Linked DNA regions of Arabidopsis thaliana. The protein of the gene in region 1 interacts with the protein of each later gene in a pairwise test. Each region holds a gene or a part of one and is shown in the gene's direction. Other genes may lie near its edges.

The links. Proteins that work in one complex are often made in the same cells at the same time.
Region 2: the proteins of AT5G27370 (region 1) and CIPK12 interact in a protein complementation assay, tested with the Arabidopsis thaliana proteins (one large-scale study listed by BioGRID).
Region 3: the proteins of AT5G27370 (region 1) and AT1G30690 interact in a protein complementation assay, tested with the Arabidopsis thaliana proteins (one large-scale study listed by BioGRID).

The regions. Positions count from the first base shown.
Region 1 is NC_003076.8:9,662,106-9,668,386, forward strand, and holds AT5G27370 (inactive Serine/Threonine-kinase, putative (DUF679)), read left to right. Parts: upstream 1-5,205; coding exon 5,206-5,781; downstream 5,782-6,281. Other genes in the region: SFP2 (Major facilitator superfamily protein), read left to right, coding at 181-320; GSH2 (glutathione synthetase 2), read right to left, coding at 6,106-6,229. UniProt on the Arabidopsis thaliana protein: Involved in membrane remodeling.
Region 2 is NC_003075.7:10,286,380-10,294,083, reverse strand, and holds CIPK12 (CBL-interacting protein kinase 12), read left to right. Parts: upstream 1-3,025; 5' UTR 3,026-3,504; coding exon 3,505-4,974; 3' UTR 4,975-5,286; downstream 5,287-7,704. UniProt on the Arabidopsis thaliana protein: CIPK serine-threonine protein kinases interact with CBL proteins. Binding of a CBL protein to the regulatory NAF domain of CIPK protein lead to the activation of the kinase in a calcium-dependent manner.
Region 3 is NC_003070.9:10,884,824-10,892,801, forward strand, and holds AT1G30690 (Sec14p-like phosphatidylinositol transfer family protein), read left to right. Parts: upstream 1-2,783; 5' UTR 2,784-3,027; intron 3,028-3,452; 5' UTR 3,453-3,460; coding exon 3,461-4,561; intron 4,562-4,647; coding exon 4,648-4,911; intron 4,912-5,004; coding exon 5,005-5,262; 3' UTR 5,263-5,560; downstream 5,561-7,978. Other genes in the region: AT1G30680 (toprim domain-containing protein), read left to right, coding at 107-190, 319-450, 527-758, 853-920, 1,165-1,237; AT1G30700 (FAD-binding Berberine family protein), read left to right, coding at 7,800-7,978. UniProt on the Arabidopsis thaliana protein: Carrier protein that may be involved in membrane-trafficking events associated with cell plate formation during cytokinesis. Binds to some hydrophobic molecules such as phosphoinositides and promotes their transfer between the different cellular sites.

The DNA.
Region 1 (6,281 bases):
AAGTCTAAAACATGAATGCAATTGGCATAATTATAAAGCATATCCACAGTTATAATGCAATTATATGTTTTTTTTTCAGACTAAACCGAATTTCTGAAAAATAATAAGTTAGATTTTGTTTGAAAAATTATGTTATTATTATGGAAAGTAATCAACTAATACTATATATCAATGTAACAGGAACATTTTACGTATTTGGAGCAGTCGGAGGACTAGCATTGCTTTTTATTTGGTTGCTCGTTCCGGAAACGAAAGGATTATCACTTGAAGAAATACAAGCTTCGCTTATTCGTGAGCCCGATAGAATAAATCAAAGTTAGATTGAAACGTTTAAGTTTTATTTTAATAGATAAATAATTAAAATCAATTTATGATACTGTGCTAAGAAAGTAATTTTTTTTTTCATTATGTAATCACTATTTAATTTTTCTAATACTTAGAATTTTTTATGTATATTTCCGCGATGTAAAACAAGGCCTATGTTCATTTGTATTTTATCCCTATGATTGCAAATGTAAAATGTTTTTGTCCTCATCGTTCACTAATAAAAAGGTTAAGAAGTTTAATATCTAGTGTTGTATAAACAAGGGCCAACCGTTAATTTTTTTAAATAGCAACTATTCTGTTATAATTATTAATTTTTATTTTTATTTTTATTGTTTTCTATAGTTTAAAAAATCTACCTTTTTAAGAAAATAGTTTTAACAATTTTTGATTAGAATTTAGAACTAATGTTTTTTCTATTCATCGCGTGTCATCATACCAAATATGTAAATGTTTTTATTTAATTGATTTTTTCTACTATTTTTCAGCTTCTTATCTCATTTTTTGACAACTACTAAAATAGGTCATACTGTTTTTTGTTAAACGATATTATCAATCAATTCCACTTTTTTTTGGTCCACTCTTTTGATAATGGAATAAACACAAATAGTGAATAGTGAGTGAATAATGAGTTGGTCACTTTCAAAACCTAACTAATGGAACTGATTCAACCTTATCTTTATATCATCCCGAGTCTTCTTTTTTTTTTTTGTTGTAAAGAAAGTTTTTAAATGCAGCTTACTGGCTTGACAAAAAAAAATGTAGTTTACCAAAATCAATTATTTTTTTCTTTCAACATCATGAAGATCATCTATCATATGACTTTCCCAACACTAAATGACATATAGTTAAAATCTATACACAATATTCTGTATATTATTATCACAAAAAAAAAAAAAAATGAATACCCCACTTTCCATATTGGCGTGAGGACAAAAATAAACAAATTGCTGTGAATCATGAGAAGTACATCTACAATTAAGATGGCATGGAAGGGACTACATGTTTGTTCATTGTCAATAAAAAAAAAAAACAAAGGACCACGTTTGTTAAATATACATAATTTTTCATAATCAAAGTTTTACTGTACTATTTTTTCTTTGTACACTAGGGAAATAAAATAAACTATAACTACGTATTTTTATGGCCAAGATATAAAAATCTCCTCTTCAAACAGCTCAGGCAATAGACAAATTAATCTCCAACCACATCATCTCCTGCACATTGGCTCGAACAGACGGTGATTCCACACTCCTTTAGTCGTTGGAGTCTACTTATGCAAGTCCCAAAGCGTCGATGACAATATCTTCTGTTCTCTAGTGTAAAATAAGTGCCATGTTTGTTTTAACGTTTTAAACATGTCTCTCTTTTTCCTTTTGTAAATTACCTTTTTGTTGATAAAATTAAAATAACATTTCAACAAAAATAAATAAAAAAAATCATTTCCAACCAAAAATAGACTTCACCATTTTATTTTAGACTGACTTCTTACCACTATCCCAACACTAAATGGATCAGATTCTGAATATTATAACTAAGTGAAATTACAATATTTTTTTACGAAAAGTATTATAAACATATTGTCCATAGTCTTTTTGTGTCCGAAACCATAATTAGTTGTTTGTTTGTTTTTCGGACGGAAAGAAAAATTAGTTTTTAGAGATATTGTTAGGATTCAAACCCATGACTTGGTCATCTTTAAACTTAAAAGATCTCAAACTTAATAGATATTTGGGGATTTGAACAAACAAAAAAAGAAGATATTTGGGGATGTATCCATATCATCACCAAAATAAAGGATTATTAAGAGGAAGTATACTCTTCGATAAACCTAATCTCAAATGAAACTGAACTGAACCTAACAAGAGATTACTAAATCGAAATCTAAGACTGAGTTTGATCATAGAAATGAGATATTTACTCTAAAGATGTTGAGTTTGGTATTATATCTCATAATCATTGGAATTGTTTCTTGGCTAATAGAGTTTGAGAAACAATTCCGATGATTAACAAATATGATGGCATAATTAAGTGTTACATATATCATATATGATATAGTGAGGCTTGTTAATTCTCGGTAATCATCAAGAAGGATTGTAGATAATAAATTATTATTATTAATGAAACGTTACTTTGCTCCCGTTTCTCAAAGAAAATGACCACTGTTCGCTGTTTCTTTTAATGTTTACGAGATCCTTACCCGCACATACGTGCGGAATTTCATATTTTTGGAATTTTATATTTTTAGTTCAATGTAGATTTTTTTGTTATTTTATGATATATATTATAGTATAATGTATTAGATATCAGAACTCGCATATACGTGCAAAATATGAAAAAAAGTAATAGATTTTTAAAATATATATAATATTTTGTTATAAGTAAACTTTGTAATAGTATAGATATTATAAAGGTAAGAATAACAACCAAAATTCAATTGTGTTCGTGTATAATTATATTTTAAAATCTGGACTCACACGGGGAAATAACCCAAACTAAAACCAAATTTATATCCTATTTTACACCAGTAATCAAACTGTTATAATGTTTTGATTAGTTTAGAAAATTAAAACGTATATTTGACGTATATTTCTTGGAACGGAAAACCCATAATGTGATGTATCTATCATAAATTCTTCGTTCCATAACCCGTCTGTATATGTGAAATAAAAATACTACCAACGCCCATCACAAATAGAATTTGTGTCACAAAATACGTACATGCAGGGTTAATTTATTTTATATAGTGCTCATAACCCAAACTCATACCAGTTGGATATTTAATTTGATGTCCAGTTTGGTTTCAAATTTCTTTATATAGTGCTTCCGTTTCTTTTCATGTCGTTTGTGTCTCATAATTCCTATTTTCATTTCATTCCATTGAAAATACGTTCCAAAATTCTTATTTGCTTACCTTTAAATATCATGTTATATATGACTGAGTTTTGCGGATTAACATATAGGATGTTAAAGTTTACAAATATATCATAAATTAAAACACAAAAATACTCTTTCTTGATTTTTTTTCAAATTCAAAAATATGAATAGCATTATAACAAATAATTTTGTAAAAATTTATATTTTAACAAATGTAATAATGTTTATTTCCTTACCTACATGTTTAATATTCTTCTTTCCCTTGTTTAATCATAATTAATTGGATTTTTGGAATATAATTAAAATTTTGAAATACCCCTACAAAAGCAATTTATTTTGCTGGATAATTTGTTCTGAATGAAAAATGTATAATTAGTTTATATTATTTCAAAAGTTTGTGCACTAATATATTATAGATTTATTTGAAAAAAGATCCGGTTGAAAAATAGAAAAAAGAAAATCCAAAATATTTCAAAATTAGTATGTAAAATTTATTGTTTAGATATTTCTAAATGTAAGGCATAATGATAATTATTTTAAATTAATTATTTTAGTTTAATTCATAGTAAATATTAATATTTGTAACATCTTATCTCGTTTTTAAAAATTTTAAAATAAATTTTCGTTTTATATTTCAAAATACTTAACCCAAAATTCTAAATTGAATTTATTTATCTATCACAAATTATGATTTTTTTATTCATGATATCAAGCAAGTCTTATGATTTTTTAAAATTTTAAAATAAAACTTAACTTCCAAAATGTTAGTTTAATAATATTGTATAATTTGATATCAAATCTAAGTTTTTCAATTTTTATTGGTTAACAAATTTTAAGAAATATATTTTATTTTTTCGTCTATAATTAATAGGAAAGAGAAAGTGAGTTTAATTTTGGGAAACTAATAATTACTTAAAAGAATATTACCAATTTTTATATTTAAATATATTAATTTTGTGATTACTATTGTATTCTTAATAAATTTATTTAAAAACACTAACAATCAATGGCATTCTATGTAATATTTTACCCTTCATAAGGTTGTTTATTTTCAATGATTTCCAATTAATAGTATAGATGCATCTCGCAACTGGATTTTTTTTTTTTTTTTTTTGTAAAGGATCTTCATGAAATTTCATCAGATGAAAATTTTACGGTTCGCTTAATGAGAAACGGTTCGATCTTTATGTGTGCAAGGTTAGTAACATCTTACATTTTCATACATATTTTCATTTCGTCATATTATTTATATAAAACAAGAATACAAGATATATATTTTAAATGAAAGACCATTAGACGTTACATGTATTTTGTGTTATAAAAATTGACGTATTTTTGTAAGACCGAGTCACCAAAATGAGTTAGGTACAACCGTGCAAGATATCGCTTAATGGACTCAATTTCATAGAACATGCACATCTCCAATTATTTACGTTTTAGCTCAAATATTATGTTTTTTTTTTCCTAAGATTTGTTTTTTCTTTCCCTGGCAGATTTGATTAATCAAATAATGCATGTGTGTGTGAACACGTAAAAAAATCGTGTCCCAACTTGTTTATGGCCATGCAAAAATAACGAATCGAATTTTGTAAAAAATAGCACTTTCATAAAAGTATTTTGACACTTTAAGATCTAAACACGAAATAAGAGCGTACCTCCACTTAATATCTTGATGCACCATAATTTCATTAACGACTAGCCAAAGTTATAAACCACAAACTAAGTTCCAATATATAAACTAACTTCTAACAAAAAAGGGTTATCCAAATGTGTATATCTATAGTTCTTTATTTTCTTTTGACAAAATGTGGAAATATATAGTAACAAAACTAAATATATATTACATATTCGGACACCAAATAAAACTCGACATCTTTAAGAAATGTATATAAAGACGCATCAAACATATCCTCACGCATGCATGCATTACGTATAGAAGAACATACAAAACACTCTTTCTCCACATAACATACAAACTTTCCTCACTTCCGATCAAATTACGAAATGGAGGCGTCGTTCATTAGATCGCTACCGTCTGCCGGAAACTTCGCCAACCTATTGCCGACCGGGACCGCCCTCATATTCGAAACCCTACTACCGTCTTTCTCCAATGGCGGCGAGTGCAACAACAAACCCGTCAATAAACTCCTCACCATTACTCTCATCTCCTTTTGCGCCGCGGCTTGCTTCTTCTCCTCCTTCACCGACTCATATGTAGGCCAAGATGGCCGCATTTACTACGGAATTGCCACCTCTAACGGTCTCCACATCCTCAACGACTATCCAGACGAAGGTTATGATCCAGAGTCCGGCTTAACGGCTGATAAGAGAGAGAGATATAAGCTCAGTTTTGTAGATTTCGTGCATGCTTTCGTGTCGGTTATCGTGTTCTTAGCGTTAGCCGTAGAGAGCTCGGATTTTCGGAGGTGTTTGCTCCCGGAGGACGATGAAAACAGTTGGGGTGGTCATTTTGTACTTATGATCAAGTACTTTGCTGTTATGGTGTTGACAATGGCAAGCTTCTTCTTTGCTATCTTTCCCTCAAAACGGAGAGGCATCGGAATTTCAGACATTCGTTGATTCATAACATTTATTTGTGTATGTACATATATGTGCCTATGGTCTAAATATGTTGCTATGGTAATAATCTTTATACCCCAAATTCCATGATTGATCTTATCTTATTCAATTCATGATCTTTATAAACGAGTAATCATCTCACACGGTCTAAAAATAACAATAAGCAATGTAGGCTTTGCGGTCCTGTGGAAAGAATTGTAAAGAGCTTTGCCTAGTCTTATTGATCTTCATGATTAATACACAAATCTTTAACAAGCAAGAAGAGAAGAAGAAGGAATAAACCAGAAGAAAAACTGATCAAGATGGTTGTGAATGTTATCCATCTCAAATCAGATATATGCTGTCCAAGACTCCAAAACCAGCTGCAACGCCGCCTTCATCTGATGATGCGATCTTCGTGCGCATTAGATAACCACTCTGCTCGTTTACTATAACTTCGTCTTTGCTCCTACATATTTCATTTAATCAAAGATTATGGCACAAAATTAAGTTGAGAATTA
Region 2 (7,704 bases), on another chromosome or scaffold:
TCAAATTCTTTAATCTTATTATCATTAAAAATTATATAAGCAAAGATTAATTTGTAAAGCAGACTAATTTTCAAACACACAGAAAGTCAGTTTTCTTACGTTAAAGACGTCCATAATAGTTGAAAACCGGTGTCAAAACATTAATTTAAGATACATTACAACTTACAAATGTCATAACGTCTATGGTATACAAATACAACATATAATATAATTTTGAACATATATACGCAATAGTTATGGACAATCCCTACAATTTGAACCTATATTTGATAACGTAATATATACAAACGTATTTAATCACATTTGAATTCAGACTAATCTAACATTGCGAAAGTATGAATATAGTTTACAAATTCAAGTAATTTGCATTTACTTCCTACCATTTTATTTAGTTTTAAAGTCTTTAGACCATACTACGAGTACTAGAAAACTATATATTTGAAAATGAAGAGATTGAATAAATATTTGTGAGGAAATGAAGATAGAAATATTGACGGATGGGTTGGCAGTCGGTGGGAGAAGGTGGGCTAGTCAAAGCTGCAAACTTATTTAGTCAAACTTCTTATATAACTCATCATCTCTTTTAGCCTCTCTGTCTTTATTATTTTTCTATATTTTGTTAATATTTTTGTGGATGGTTCATGCTGTTTTGGAACGTACAGTCCTTAGAGTGCACTTCACCGTTATGATGTTCACACTTTTCAGGCTTCGATTGGAACTTTTAGCCCACCATAACCAAAGCTTATAAACTAGTGGAGAGAATGGGCTTTTATAGTATAAGGCTCATAGATTTATACAATCTTCTCTGTACGTTACAAGTCTACAAAGAGGAGTTAGGACTTAGGCGAGTTTGTTAGTTAGATTCTGGCACTTTGTTTAACCATATAAATGTTTTTAAAACCCTATACGGCTATATTTAATTCTATCTAAAGTGGTGAAATATCCCTCTTTTTGACAAAATCTAAGATAAATGATTCTTTAGTTCGTTTTCCTCGGTTTCTTTTTTTGTTAGTTAATTCACTTCAGCTGACAACTAGAGTTTAATAAAACTTTGGACATGAAATAATATCAATATTTTGTGTTCTTATTCAAAGGCCCATTTATAGTTGCAAAAGAAACATATAGGCCCATATATATATCTCTTTTGAAAAATGTTCAAACGCAACATATCGGACGTGCATAGGTTTCTAACATGAGAAATCCGGATTCGTGGCGGAGGAAAACAGAAACGATCGAACAAACGTCGGCAACTTCTCAGTTTATTTACAGGACTGCTAAGTTCACATATTAAACTAAAATAACCAGGAAGACAAAACTAGTCTTTAAATACGAAAGATTGTTTCAAAGTAGCGACAAAAGCTGGCGGCAAAATACTACCGAGTACTATTTGAATTGGGATCCTCTAAAGTATATAATTTGGGCCATGATTAGGCATTTGCCTCTTTTGTCTTAGCATTTGCCTCTTTTGTTCCAAGGTAGGCACGAATCTTGCATACCAAACTAGATATATAACATGCAACACGTTAAAGCATGTAAACAAAATGTGTGCGTACGATCTACGTGAATTTATTAGCTTATAATTATCATTTGAACTTAAAATATATGTGAAATTATTAACTTAATGCAAGTGCCAAACTGTCAATCGCAATTCCACTATAGAAAAATTTGTTATTCAATAGGTATAGTGTGGAACATTTTTACCAATTTGTAATTTAGTAATACTGCCGGAAAGAAAAAATCCTTCTGTTTCATTTTAATTAGTAAGTTTCATTTTAGATATAATTAAACAAATCTATCTAAAATATTATTTACATCATTATCGTTCTAAATTGACAATAGAACTTGCTTCATATGATAACTTCTCTTGCTTATATTTATAATCTCTTGACCGACCACCATTACGTATGTTGACTTACGACCCCACCGTCCTTCACCAACCGTTGCAATAGATTTGACTTTCATAATTATAAAAATGAATTAATTTAGATTTCATAATTAAACCATTAACATAGTTCAATTGAATTAATTTAGAATTCTCGACCGAATTTTGGCGTATAAAACCTTTGTTAATTTTACGCTTATAATTTCCTGTGAACACTATATATAGCTGGATTCCGTAATTTCCGTGAGTCTCTACATAAAGACAAAAACATTTTCATATGGCAATCCAACGGCTGTGATTAAACTCACAGCTGTTTTTTTTTGTTCAGATGACGTGGAGCCTAACACTTACCAGATAGAAAACTCGAGAATCCAGACCACTGAACCTAAAGCGATCGCTGAGTAACTGCCACGTGTAAAACAAAATCTAATAAACTATCGTTTTGAATAATACAGCCACAGAAACTATGATGTCATCTTCACGCCACGTGGTTTATGTTCTATGGAAGTATTTTATTTTGAAATTCATACGTAAATCTACGATCTAGATTCGTCTCGAGACCAACAACTTGACCCACTCACTTAGCTATTGGTGCTAATTGTCTTTCCCTATTAGATTAATGAAAGTTTAGAATTCATCATTGAAAAGCGTTTATAATGCAAGGTACAATTCGAAAGATATTTTAGAAACATTGTATTTGAAACAATGTCGATCGTATGGTCCACTACAATTATTTGAAATGATTCAACATCAATTCATTTATTTGATCGTTTTATTGCGTTATTGTTTGACATTAGCGGTTCTAAAATGAATTATAGCAAAACAAAGTTACGATAGTGACTTATATTATGTTTTTGTTTTTGAGTATTTGTAACAAACAAGTGGTATATAATTGGTGCATAAGAGGCATGACAAATACTGACATACGGTTGGTTCGAAAAAACCCAAAATACACGCAGCAAATAACAAGGAATTTAAATACAAGTTGAAATAATTAACATTGAGAGATGATTAAACTTGTATTATCTTCACGTGAATGATGATCTTACTTGAATATGTAAGTCCAAATAAAAAATTTATAATAGCAAGTTGTAATTGTTTCAACTTATTTAAATTTTTGAAACAAATTATATATATCGTCGGGAGAAATGATAAGTAATCATTGCAACCCATTTTGTTAGTCAATACAGTACTTAAGAATATCATTAAACACAAAATCCTGCATTAAATTTATAAAGTTACTATTTTCTATAACCATTAACAAAAAAAAAAGTTATTTTCTATAAACACACAAAATTCATAAAAGCATATTCCCAAATATATACGGCGACGATTATTATAAACAGAGGCCAAATGCTATTTTTAGTGATGAATCTCTAAAAACAGTAGAGAGAGAAACCTTCTTCTTCTTTCTTCTTCTTCTACAAAATTTCACAAAACGAGAGAGAGGAGAGATTCAAACAAACGAATCAACAGGTGAGAAATTCGAAATCTTTGCGAGCTCGTCTCGCCCAGAATCTCGATTTCTCCACCTTTCCTCTTCAATTCATCTTCCAAATCCCTAAAAAAAAGACTCAAACTTTTTAATTTTGGTCCAAAAAAGACTCAAACTTTCTTCATCAATGGCGGAGAAAATCACGAGAGAGACGTCGTTACCTAAAGAGAGAAGCAGCCCACAAGCTCTAATCCTGGGACGATACGAAATGGGTAAGCTTCTCGGCCATGGTACCTTCGCTAAAGTTTACCTCGCACGTAACGTGAAAACAAACGAAAGCGTAGCAATCAAAGTAATCGACAAGGAGAAAGTTCTCAAAGGAGGTTTAATCGCACACATCAAACGCGAGATCTCGATTCTTCGACGTGTTCGTCACCCAAACATCGTTCAGCTATTCGAAGTCATGGCGACGAAAGCTAAGATCTATTTCGTGATGGAGTATGTTCGTGGAGGTGAGTTATTCAATAAAGTAGCTAAAGGTCGTCTTAAAGAAGAAGTAGCTCGCAAATATTTCCAGCAATTGATCTCTGCTGTTACTTTCTGTCACGCGAGAGGTGTTTATCATAGAGATCTGAAACCTGAGAATCTTTTGTTAGATGAGAATGGTAATCTTAAAGTCTCTGACTTTGGACTTAGTGCTGTCTCTGATCAGATTCGTCAAGATGGGCTTTTTCATACGTTTTGTGGTACTCCTGCTTATGTTGCTCCTGAGGTTTTAGCTAGGAAAGGTTATGATGCTGCTAAAGTTGATATTTGGTCTTGTGGTGTTATCTTGTTTGTGTTGATGGCTGGTTATTTGCCGTTTCATGATCGGAATGTTATGGCTATGTATAAGAAGATTTACAGAGGGGAGTTTAGGTGTCCTAGGTGGTTTTCTACTGAGCTTACCAGGTTGTTGTCGAAGCTTTTGGAGACGAATCCGGAGAAACGGTTCACTTTCCCTGAGATTATGGAGAATTCTTGGTTTAAGAAAGGGTTTAAGCATATTAAGTTTTATGTGGAGGATGATAAGTTGTGTAATGTTGTTGATGATGATGAACTGGAGTCTGACTCGGTGGAGTCGGATAGAGATTCCGCGGCTTCTGAGTCGGAGATTGAGTATTTGGAGCCTAGGAGGAGAGTTGGAGGGTTGCCTAGACCTGCGAGTTTGAATGCTTTCGATATTATATCGTTTTCGCAAGGTTTTGATTTATCGGGTTTGTTTGATGACGATGGGGAGGGTTCTAGGTTTGTTTCGGGAGCTCCGGTTTCGAAGATTATATCGAAGTTGGAAGAGATTGCTAAAGTTGTGAGCTTTACTGTGAGGAAGAAGGATTGTAGGGTAAGTCTTGAAGGTTCAAGACAAGGAGTGAAAGGTCCATTGACGATTGCAGCAGAGATATTCGAATTGACACCATCGTTGGTTGTTGTGGAAGTCAAGAAGAAAGGAGGAGATAAAACAGAGTATGAAGATTTCTGTAACAATGAATTGAAACCCAAGTTGCAAAACTTGACAGCTGATGATGTAGTAGCTGAGCCTGTCGCGGTTTCAGCGGTTGATGAAACCGCTATCCCGAATTCTCCAACCATTTCTTTCTTGCCGTCTGACACTGAATAGAAGGACTTGATGGAAGACCACAAAGCCAGAGATCATGAGGGGTATGTATGTACACTGTATGTTTTGGGTTTTGTAATCTGGATTGGGAAAGAAAAAAAGCTGCTTACGGTTGGTGAAATTTAGAATCGAATTATATGTAATACTTATGTTTCTGTTGGAGAGGATCGTTAGAGAAATTGAGTTATGTTTTTTACTAACCTTTTAGCAGTTTTTTTTTGTAATGGGAGAATTGTAAACAGTTTCGCATAATCAGATCTTTGATATGTATAAAAACAATGAAATAAATAAAAGAAAGTTCCTTTCTTCTTCTTGAAAATCCACTTTTTGTTATCTCTGATAATTGGTTATATTTCTGTTTTTGGTTTGTTTTTTAATTTGCTAAAATGGGTAAGAATAAGAAGAGAAGAATGTTCTTGTTTTGTTGATTCTTGAACATTTTAATAGCGGAAAATTCTGATGGTGAATGTTATCTATTTGTGGGTAAAGAAATTGACAAGAACCATGTGAAGTGTTTGTCTTTGTGTGTATGCAAGTTGGTTTTGAATTGATAGCAAAATATTTGTCTTTTTATGGGAAATTATTATATTTGTAAGATTTGACAATCACGGATACAAAAGCTGTTGTTTCTTGATATGGCCAAGCTTTGCTCGATTTACATGTGAGTGTAAAGCATATATATGTTGGTGATGAATGATGATGCATTGATGATGTAACTGACTCGTAACTTTTTTTTGGAGATTTTGTTTGAATGTGCTTAATGATCATCTCTGTCTTTTTTCTTTTTTCCCCCTTTCTTTTATTGCTGTTTTTTTTTTGGGCAAAAGGAAAATATCAAATGTAACTTGTTGGGGGAAATAAGGAACAGAAAACTGTCTCTGAATTTAAAGCTAATATATTAACTTTTCCTTGTCTTTTTAGCTCAAGGAAATAATGGCTGTTTTGTTAAACCAAAAAATAAAATGCAATTGCAAGTGGTGAGAGTCTGGTGACCCAATTTACCAGCACAACCCACATGCACATGCCCCCATTAAAGCCCATATGAGGATGTCTTTTCTTTTGTAGAAAAGCTTTATAATGCATATTAAAAATTTCGAAACAATTATTATAGTGGTATAATGTGTTAATGTCCCTTTAAAGTACAGATAGAACAAGAAGTAATATCAAAATAACATATACATTTTCATTATATTTTATGATGAGATAAAGGTGACTGAAGAACTTTAAGTATATTTTTGTAGATAACATCTTTGACAATCAAAATTCCACACATCAATATGTGCAAGAACAATATTATTATTAGAAATTCGTAAACATTACACCATTTTTTTTTTTTTTTTGTAAAGATTGAGTTGTGGTAGAAAGATTTGAGGCAAGACGCCAATATCCGTACAAATTTTGGCTAATTGGATTAGATGATTTCAGTCTATAAAGAAAGTTGTTATGTAAGTGGGTGATTTGGTGTTATGAGTTTCTTCGGCTTGGACTCTTTTATGCGTCCGAAGTTTCCCTAAAACTTTAAGCCAACAACATTATTTACCTCGGAGATTAGCTTAATGCTAAAACGATTCAAACTATATAGTTATGATATTTCATATTTATTTTAAACAGAATTAAAACCTGGTTAGTCCTTTTGCACTCTCGATCTCGCTAGCGTGTTGGGGAACAAGTTGATGTAGTTTACCACGTAGTCCTTTTACTCGATTCGGGAGATGTACATGTCACCTTCTAAAATTTGGAGTCTTTGTTTTGTCTGATTCATAAATATCTCCATCTTTTTGCACACCAAAAACAAAACAAAAAACATCTAACTCTTTCTTACCCAATTTGTGTATACCGTTTTTACTTTGGAAAAGAAAAAAATCTAAAACCTTTAAAAAGGAATATTCGAATGATGTAAAGATTCAATACTTCCCGACACCTAATTCCCAACAAATTCGAATTGTCAATTTACATTGGTTTTAGTTAGGTTTTCCACGTATTTTTCTTATGAAATATTTCAACATTTATAATATATCGTGAGTCATTACATTGAAAATTACTTATGTTAGTAATTTGATAGTGAACAATTAACATGGTGTTAACAAAATAAGAAAAATACAAAATATAACACGGTGTTTAGAGGAAAAAGCATCACAACTTTATTTAGTACTAGAAAATGTCCCACGCGATGCGTGGGTGAAATGAATGTAGTGAAATATATGTCTATAATTAATATATATTGATATAATATTAAATTATTTTATAATACATTCAATAAAAAATATCATAAATATTGTGATTATGATATTTTAGTTTTAAACTAAATATTTAGTTTATGAATTATAATCTAAAATTATTTTGGGTATTTATAAATTAAAAATTATCGAATTGATCAAAAAAGAAAAATTATAATATTGATATACAAGATAAGCCTTGTGTTTTATTTAAATATATGAAAATGATATGCAATATTTCTCTGAGTAAAAGATTTCATAATTGTATATATCATATTGATTATAGTATGTGTGTAAATTGTAAAGTAGTTAATAGATTTGAAGTTGTGAGATTGATAAAGTCTTGATTAATGAGTAAGATTAACATATATGAATATTGATATATTAATACTAATTGATATCAAAAGAACTCTAAATACTTTATACAATTAATATTCAAATTATTTACTATTTCTTCCATCTTTGAACAATATGGTAAGAAAGTATTGAATTTATTTACTAATGATTTACTATATAC
Region 3 (7,978 bases), on another chromosome or scaffold:
TCTTTCTGATTGCAGCCAATAGCTGGTGCTCTTGTAATGTCTGACCGTGTACTTAACTTTGTCCTTTCTTGAAAGTGGTGTGTATGTTTCCCCTTTTTTTCGACAGCTATGGGAGATCTGTCCAACGGATGAGCGTTGAGGAGAAGGATGAAGGGAAAAAGTGGTTGAATGACACCTTCTATCCCATAAGGTAAGATATTCAGCCTTGTAGAACTCGACTCTCCGCTGATGCAAAATAACTACCTAAAGCCCAGGAAGTTGTGCAACTTGGACATGATATGTTAAAATTTTGGTGTTTGGGTTCTCATGACTAATCAGATGTGAGATGGATTCACTTCCAAGTATTGATTGGGTTCTGGAACGTGCAAAAGCAGCTGTTCTTCGGTATGGGATTCGAGGACTTGTTATAGATCCTTACAATGAGCTCGATCATCAACGTACTCCACGCCAGTGAGTGAAGAAAATATTTTCACTGAATACCCTCTTTCCTTTCTGAAACATGAAAGATTAATATTCGTTTTGATAGGACGGAGACAGAGTATGTCAGCCAGATGCTTACAAAAATCAAACGCTTTTCCCAACACCACTCCTGCCATGTCTGGTTTGTCGCTCATCCAAAACAGTTGCAACATTGGGATGGCGGTGCACCAAACCTTTACGATATTAGTGGCAGCGCACATTTTATAAACAAATGTGACAATGGTATTATAGTTCACAGAAACCGCGACGAAAATGCTGGACCTCTTGATCTAGTTCAAGTGGGTACCAATCCCTTCATCTTCATCTGTAATGTATTATTTTAAAAATGGCCTTCTTATTGTGTAAAGTTACTAACCTTTTTGTATGTTTTAGATTGGTGTGAGGAAAGTACGAAACAAGGTGGCAGGACAAATTGGTGATGCATACTTGTGTTATGACAGGTACATAAACTTTTCAACTACCTTCTTATTTCTACTAATCTAACTTAACGGACTAAACAAGTTTTCACAAGAACTTATGATAGTATTTTGTTACTTTGGCATCGAAAACTAGCTGAAGTTATTCCGAAGTACCCAAAGCGTAGAGACCTTTGCCTAGAACACCAAACCTTTATCAAAACTCTGTTCAAAGTTACAATCGATAATTCTACTATGTTGGTTCAGTAATGAAATCTTTATTCGACAGGACAACTGGTTCCTACTCGGATTCTCCAGTGACGCCTGGAATGCCAGAGAGGAGATCACCCAAGCGGTACTGATCAGTTTGGTGAATTTAAAGGCCGTCAAACACGGTGGACATAGCGTATCGATAACATTTGTCAACTAAATTTTATCCCTTTTGGGTTACCATTGGTGAGGAAAAAGATGATCTTGTGAGATTCTTACCTTTGTGTTTTAACAGACTGTCAAGATTCAAGAACAAGATTATGTCTCTACTATGTAATGTGGAATTATGAATCATGGTGTTTCTCTATTGTGTCTGGTAGGTCTGATCCAAAATGTGACTGAATTCGATTTTTGTACAGCTCTGTGATCTTTTTGTGCTCTGTCTGTTTCTGTAGTTTGTTCTGTTTCTCTCTGTCTCTGTCTCCTCCTTTTGTTGCGGCTGATTTGGTGTTGTGAATTAGCTGTATAACTGTTGACTTCAACTACCTCTCTGTTATAATTATGCAAACTCTTTGCAAATTGATTCAATTATTTCCAATGTTATACTGCTTTGTGTTACGTCTATCTAGTTGATTTCTTTGAGTATTAATCTAATTGTCACGCAAATATTTTATAATAGAATCAGTTGCGGCGGTGCACTATAAATGTCGATCATATATAATCATTGCGAACGTAATTAATATAGGGAATATAGGTGAAAGTTGTGGAAATAGTTTATTCTCGTCAAAGGATATGACCAAGACCAAAATTATTGGTATTATCTAATTTATCAATCCATTGTTTTTTTTTCACACATTTGCTTATTCTGATATATTTAGTATTGTTTTTAATTATACATCATAAAGACATAAACATCATAGACAAAACTTTTATTGAGAACTTATATAAATAATCATTTTTTGTGTATGTTAATCACATATTTACATTAGGAAATAACTAAGTTTAGAATTTTTCGACCAATATTCAAATCACTTAATCATCTGATTTACATGCAAACATTTGATGATATGAAACCATTCATATGAAACAGCAACTCATTAATATAAAAATATAATGATTAGTGTCTTTGTTGGCATATTTTGGTGTCAACAGCTAAAAGAGACATTTACTTACCAATAAAGGAGACCGTATATCCAATTCCGACTGTTTAATGAAAATCATGATATATTAAGGAACAAATATTTGATTGAGAACCGTTACAACGAAGAGATTCTTCTCCACTATCACATTATACATGGTACTTTCTAATTATATTAAAATGGGACGTAATTTAGAATTAAGTGATAACTCTGTAAAATTAGAAAGGAAACAAAACAAAATAAAACCATATTAAAATGAATTTCACACAAAAAGTGACTTTGGTAGTGAATATATCCGTCCGTTGCGCCGAACATACTCTGTCGAATAGCACCACGTGTCGTGTAAACAGATCAGCATCGACGACCGTTGAGAGAACATGAGAAGCGAAACGTGGGACCTCACCAATATCTTTGTTTATTAATTTATATTTCTTGGTGCTACGTAAAATATTTGTTCTGCGATTTTGAGAATTTGCCAGGCTGGCAAATTGGGGCCAGGTTGGATCATCCAACGGCTGTGGTTGGTTCTTCATGTTTACTGGTAGGGTCCATCATGTGACCGTTGCTAAGGGCGGTGTGGACCACCTCTAGTCCTAGGGTTTTTTCCTTCTCTGCATAAAGCTCCCTTCTTTGTTCCTCCTCCTCTCTCTTCTCTTATTTATTCACAACCCCCCATTAATCTCTTTCTCTGCTGCAGCTTAAACTTTAAAAAACACTACAAGAACAACTTCTTCAGGTTCTATAAAGAGATTCCGAAGAAGAATCTTTTCCAGAAACAGTGTAAGTCTTATCTTCTTCTTTAGGTTGGTTTCTCTCTTTTTCTCTCTTTAGAAGCTGTTAAATTCGAATCCTTTTTGGGTTTTAGTTCTATTGTCTCTCTTGATTTCTCGATTTTTATATAGATAAACTTAGAAAGCTTCGAATTTGAGCTAGGTTTCTCTCGCCTTCAGGAAAAAAAAAAAGAAAGTTTCAATCTTTTCCTCCTGAGATTTAGTTCTGCAGAGTTGAAATTGGATTCTGTGTTATGTTGTTTGAGTTCGTTTAATCGTTAGGGTTTATACAAGAATTACGTTTTTGATTTTAGATCTCTACTAATCAGGAAGAAGAATTAAGCTTGTTTCTTTTAGATCTCAACTAATTCAACAAGGTTAATTAGTTCTAGGGTTACTACTTTGGTGAATTGTATAATTGGTGACTAAATATTGTTTGAATCGATTCTGAATGACAGGCTTTAAGATGACTGCTGAAGTTAAGGTTGAGGAGAAACAGGTGGAGTCAGAGGTTGTTATTGCTCCTGCTGTTGTTCCTGAGGAGACTACTGTTAAGGCTGTTGTGGAAGAGACTAAGGTTGAAGAAGATGAGAGCAAGCCTGAGGGTGTGGAGAAGAGTGCTTCCTTCAAAGAAGAGAGTGATTTCTTTGCTGATTTGAAAGAATCTGAGAAAAAGGCACTGAGTGATCTCAAGTCTAAGCTTGAGGAAGCTATTGTTGACAACACTCTCTTAAAGACGAAGAAGAAGGAGAGCTCTCCTATGAAGGAGAAGAAGGAAGAGGTTGTGAAACCTGAAGCTGAGGTTGAGAAGAAGAAGGAAGAAGCAGCAGAGGAGAAGGTTGAAGAAGAGAAGAAATCTGAGGCTGTTGTTACCGAAGAAGCACCGAAAGCTGAGACTGTTGAGGCTGTTGTTACAGAGGAGATAATCCCCAAGGAAGAAGTGACTACTGTTGTTGAGAAGGTAGAAGAAGAAACCAAGGAAGAAGAGAAGAAAACCGAGGATGTTGTTACTGAAGAAGTGAAAGCTGAGACTATTGAGGTGGAGGATGAAGATGAGTCGGTGGATAAGGATATCGAGCTTTGGGGAGTGCCATTGCTTCCAAGCAAAGGAGCTGAAAGCACGGATGTTATCCTCTTGAAGTTCTTGAGAGCAAGAGACTTTAAAGTCAACGAAGCCTTTGAGATGCTGAAGAAAACCCTCAAATGGAGAAAGCAAAACAAGATTGATTCGATCCTTGGAGAGGAGTTTGGGGAGGATCTTGCCACTGCAGCTTACATGAACGGTGTGGACCGCGAGTCCCACCCAGTTTGTTACAATGTCCACAGCGAGGAGCTTTACCAGACGATTGGGTCGGAGAAGAACAGAGAGAAGTTCTTGAGATGGAGGTTTCAGCTGATGGAGAAGGGAATCCAGAAGCTTAATCTTAAACCAGGAGGTGTTACTTCTCTTCTCCAGATCCACGATCTCAAAAACGCTCCTGGAGTGTCAAGAACAGAGATTTGGGTCGGAATCAAGAAAGTAATCGAGACTTTGCAGGACAACTATCCGGAATTCGTGTCCAGAAACGTGAGTTGATTATTATCATCATTCGTTTTGGGACTCGTTGATTTGGTCTACTGACTTTCTAATCATTGTTTGTTTTTGTTCTGCAGATATTCATCAACGTTCCATTCTGGTTCTACGCCATGAGAGCTGTCCTCTCGCCATTCTTAACTCAACGAACCAAGAGCAAGTTTGTTGTGGCTCGTCCCGCTAAGGTCAGAGAGACTCTTCTCAAGTACATTCCAGCTGATGAGCTCCCAGTTCAGTACGGTGGGTTCAAAACAGTAGACGATACCGAATTCTCCAACGAAACTGTCTCTGAAGTTGTTGTTAAGCCTGGATCATCTGAAACCATCGAAATCCCAGCTCCTGAGGTATAATTAGAAAACCAAACCCTACCTTATTCCTGAAGTTGTTAAACCCTATCTTTCTAATTATGGTTTTTTGTTTTGTGGTTGTTTTCATAGACTGAAGGTACATTGGTATGGGACATAGCGGTTTTGGGATGGGAAGTGAATTACAAGGAAGAGTTTGTGCCAACAGAAGAAGGAGCTTACACGGTAATAGTCCAAAAGGTGAAGAAGATGGGAGCAAATGAAGGACCAATCAGGAACAGTTTCAAGAACAGTCAGGCTGGTAAGATTGTTCTTACCGTTGACAATGTCTCTGGCAAGAAGAAGAAAGTTCTGTACAGGTACAGAACCAAGACTGAATCCTCTTCCTGAAGTGGAGGATTTCATGTAGTCTCTGGATATATAATATTCTTTTCTAAATTTAAACGTTTGGTGTTATTATTTATTTTTGAGTGATATGTAAGAGAAAGAGATACTCCCATTATTTCATTGATATTCAATCTTTTGCTTCTTTCTTTTTTTGGTAAGGTCAATCTTTTGCTTCTTTGGTATGAGATTTTTCCTCTCTTCCCTATTTGATTTATTTGATTAAAACTGTATGGATAAATAAATATGTTCGAATATTCAGAGTTTTACATGGGCTGAGTATTGGCCCAATGGCCTTTCAGAGTAACACCAAAGAAGAAATATGTGATATGTTTTGTATGGTTGTTCTGAAAGGTTTTACAGTGAGAAAAACAGTTGAACAACCAAAAGAGGAATGGTTTGATGATTAATAATTTTTCTTTTGATCTAACATTCATTATATTATAAACCCCAAAACCGGGAAAAAATTGAAATTCGGATGGAAAAAAACATAACAACTCTATCCATAGTTAAATCTTTTTTTTGTTTGTCATCTCTATCCATAGTTAAATCTTAGTTCTTACTTATGAGTAAATGTCCTTAGACTACTCATGTTACGATCGATGATGCATGTGTGTGAACTTACCTTAATGGATATACGCGGCGAAAACAAAGACTGCCACAAAATCTACTCTTTGTGTTGTTATTGGTACACATCAATGGATGAAGAATAGTGGCTCGAACCGCTTCATTGGCCAGAAAAATATAAGATTAGCTACTACATTTTTTTCTAAAGTAAAATCAATTTTGTTTTTTGGGATCAATTTTTGCAGAATTCTATGTAGTGATTACGACACCACACGCATGCATGGCATCATCAGAGAAAAAGATTATAGATGACTAGACGCACTGATCCTTCTACCTTTTTTTCTTTAAATTGAATGATTTTAATATAAACAATTTGTAACTTGTAATAGATTTGCACTTCTCCTCCTATAAATGCGTTCGTCAACATCTTTGCTTTCGTACGGTAAAACAACATCTCTCGTTGAAACAAAATGTGTTTGATCATTTTAAATTTTCTAATACCTTACGTCTTTTATTTTAATTTCTATAAGAATTGTCTGTATGGAAAGTTTTTTTAAGATTTTTGTTGCATTTTTTTTAATGGACAGCTTAGTCATGCTTCTCTCTAATCTATAGACTAACATGCGGGTAACATATAAATGGCTTATATAAATATATTCTTAACAAAAAATATCAATATTCTTTTCAGCATATCAGTGTTATAATTAATTTAGAATCCACGTCTAGTTTATATTTTCTTCTTTATTTGCGGCCCCAATAATACTACTTTTGGTCAACAATATGAAAGTCAAACCAGCCGCTCAAATGTATCCTTCATGAGTTCATGTTATATTTCAGTCAATACTTTTCATATTTAAACACTTATTATAATTACGTAATATTTTTTTGCCCAAAAAAAAAAATTACGTAATATTCAACATCTCTACCTTGTAGAGTTCCAAAACATTGTCACAAAATATTTATAAAGAATTTATTTTAACTAATTAGGTCGTTAATTGTCCAAGGGTTTTTCATAGTTGATATAGTTCTGTTCAAATATAGCCATCCTTAATCGATTCATGGGATCGTAAATTACTACTTCGAGTGTTGTAAAAAAAAATGAAACTTCTACATTACAAACTCGAATTTAATGCATCTGGAGTGATACTATAAAAGTAGGGATGCTCTCAGGTCGCATTTGAGAGACACAGAAATGATTTTAATGGAATTAATATATTTTCAGTTTTTCACAAAAAAAAATTGTGTTTATAACAACTGCAGATTCAATGCTGATTTTATGAGTCTCACCTATAGAATTTATATTTCTATATTCATAGAGGCAGTATAGGTGTTGACCCAACATCGAAAGAACACTTCGTAAAAAATTCTTTGGAACAAGGCTGAAAATTTACTCCCAAATTTAGCTATCCGATGAAGATAAATCATTTACCGTTTATTAAAGAATTATCGAGATTTTAGTCCAAACCAAAAGAGATTATGAGCCTAAGATTTTGAATTTGTATTGGTAAAAGAAATTGAACGAAAATTTCAGAAAAAAATATTAATAAATTGAACGATAGAGTTCACTTACTACATAGTCAACTAGTGCCTAGCTATAATAGTTTCAAAAGACAAAAAAAAACAAAATCGGTTAACTACTTCCGTGACATAATTCTCATTTTGATTTTTGAATCCAGTCTAATTTGAAAAGTATATTCAAAATCTTTAAATCCATTAATGATAACTTTTATAATACGTTGACACACGCAATTGTATATACAATATTCTTGAATTTTAAATGTAAATTCTAGAATATATTGCGATCACCACACTAATCAAAATCTTTGGGACAACTTGAACCCACATTTGACTTTTCTTGGTCAAATATTTTGGCATCATGCATGATCTTCTCTATAAAAACCAAAAGGCCTCAACGACATTCATAAACTCAGTCATTATATTTATTTTTGTTGTATTTCAACGTTCAATCTCTGAAAATGAAATATGCATTGATTCTTGTTCTCTTTTTTGTTGTCTTCATATGGCAATCAAGCTCATCATCAGCAAACTCGGAGACTTTCACACAATGCCTAACCTCAAACTCCGACCCCAAACATCCCATCTCCCCCGCTATCTTCTTCTCCGGAAATGGCTCCTACTCCTCCGTATTACAAGC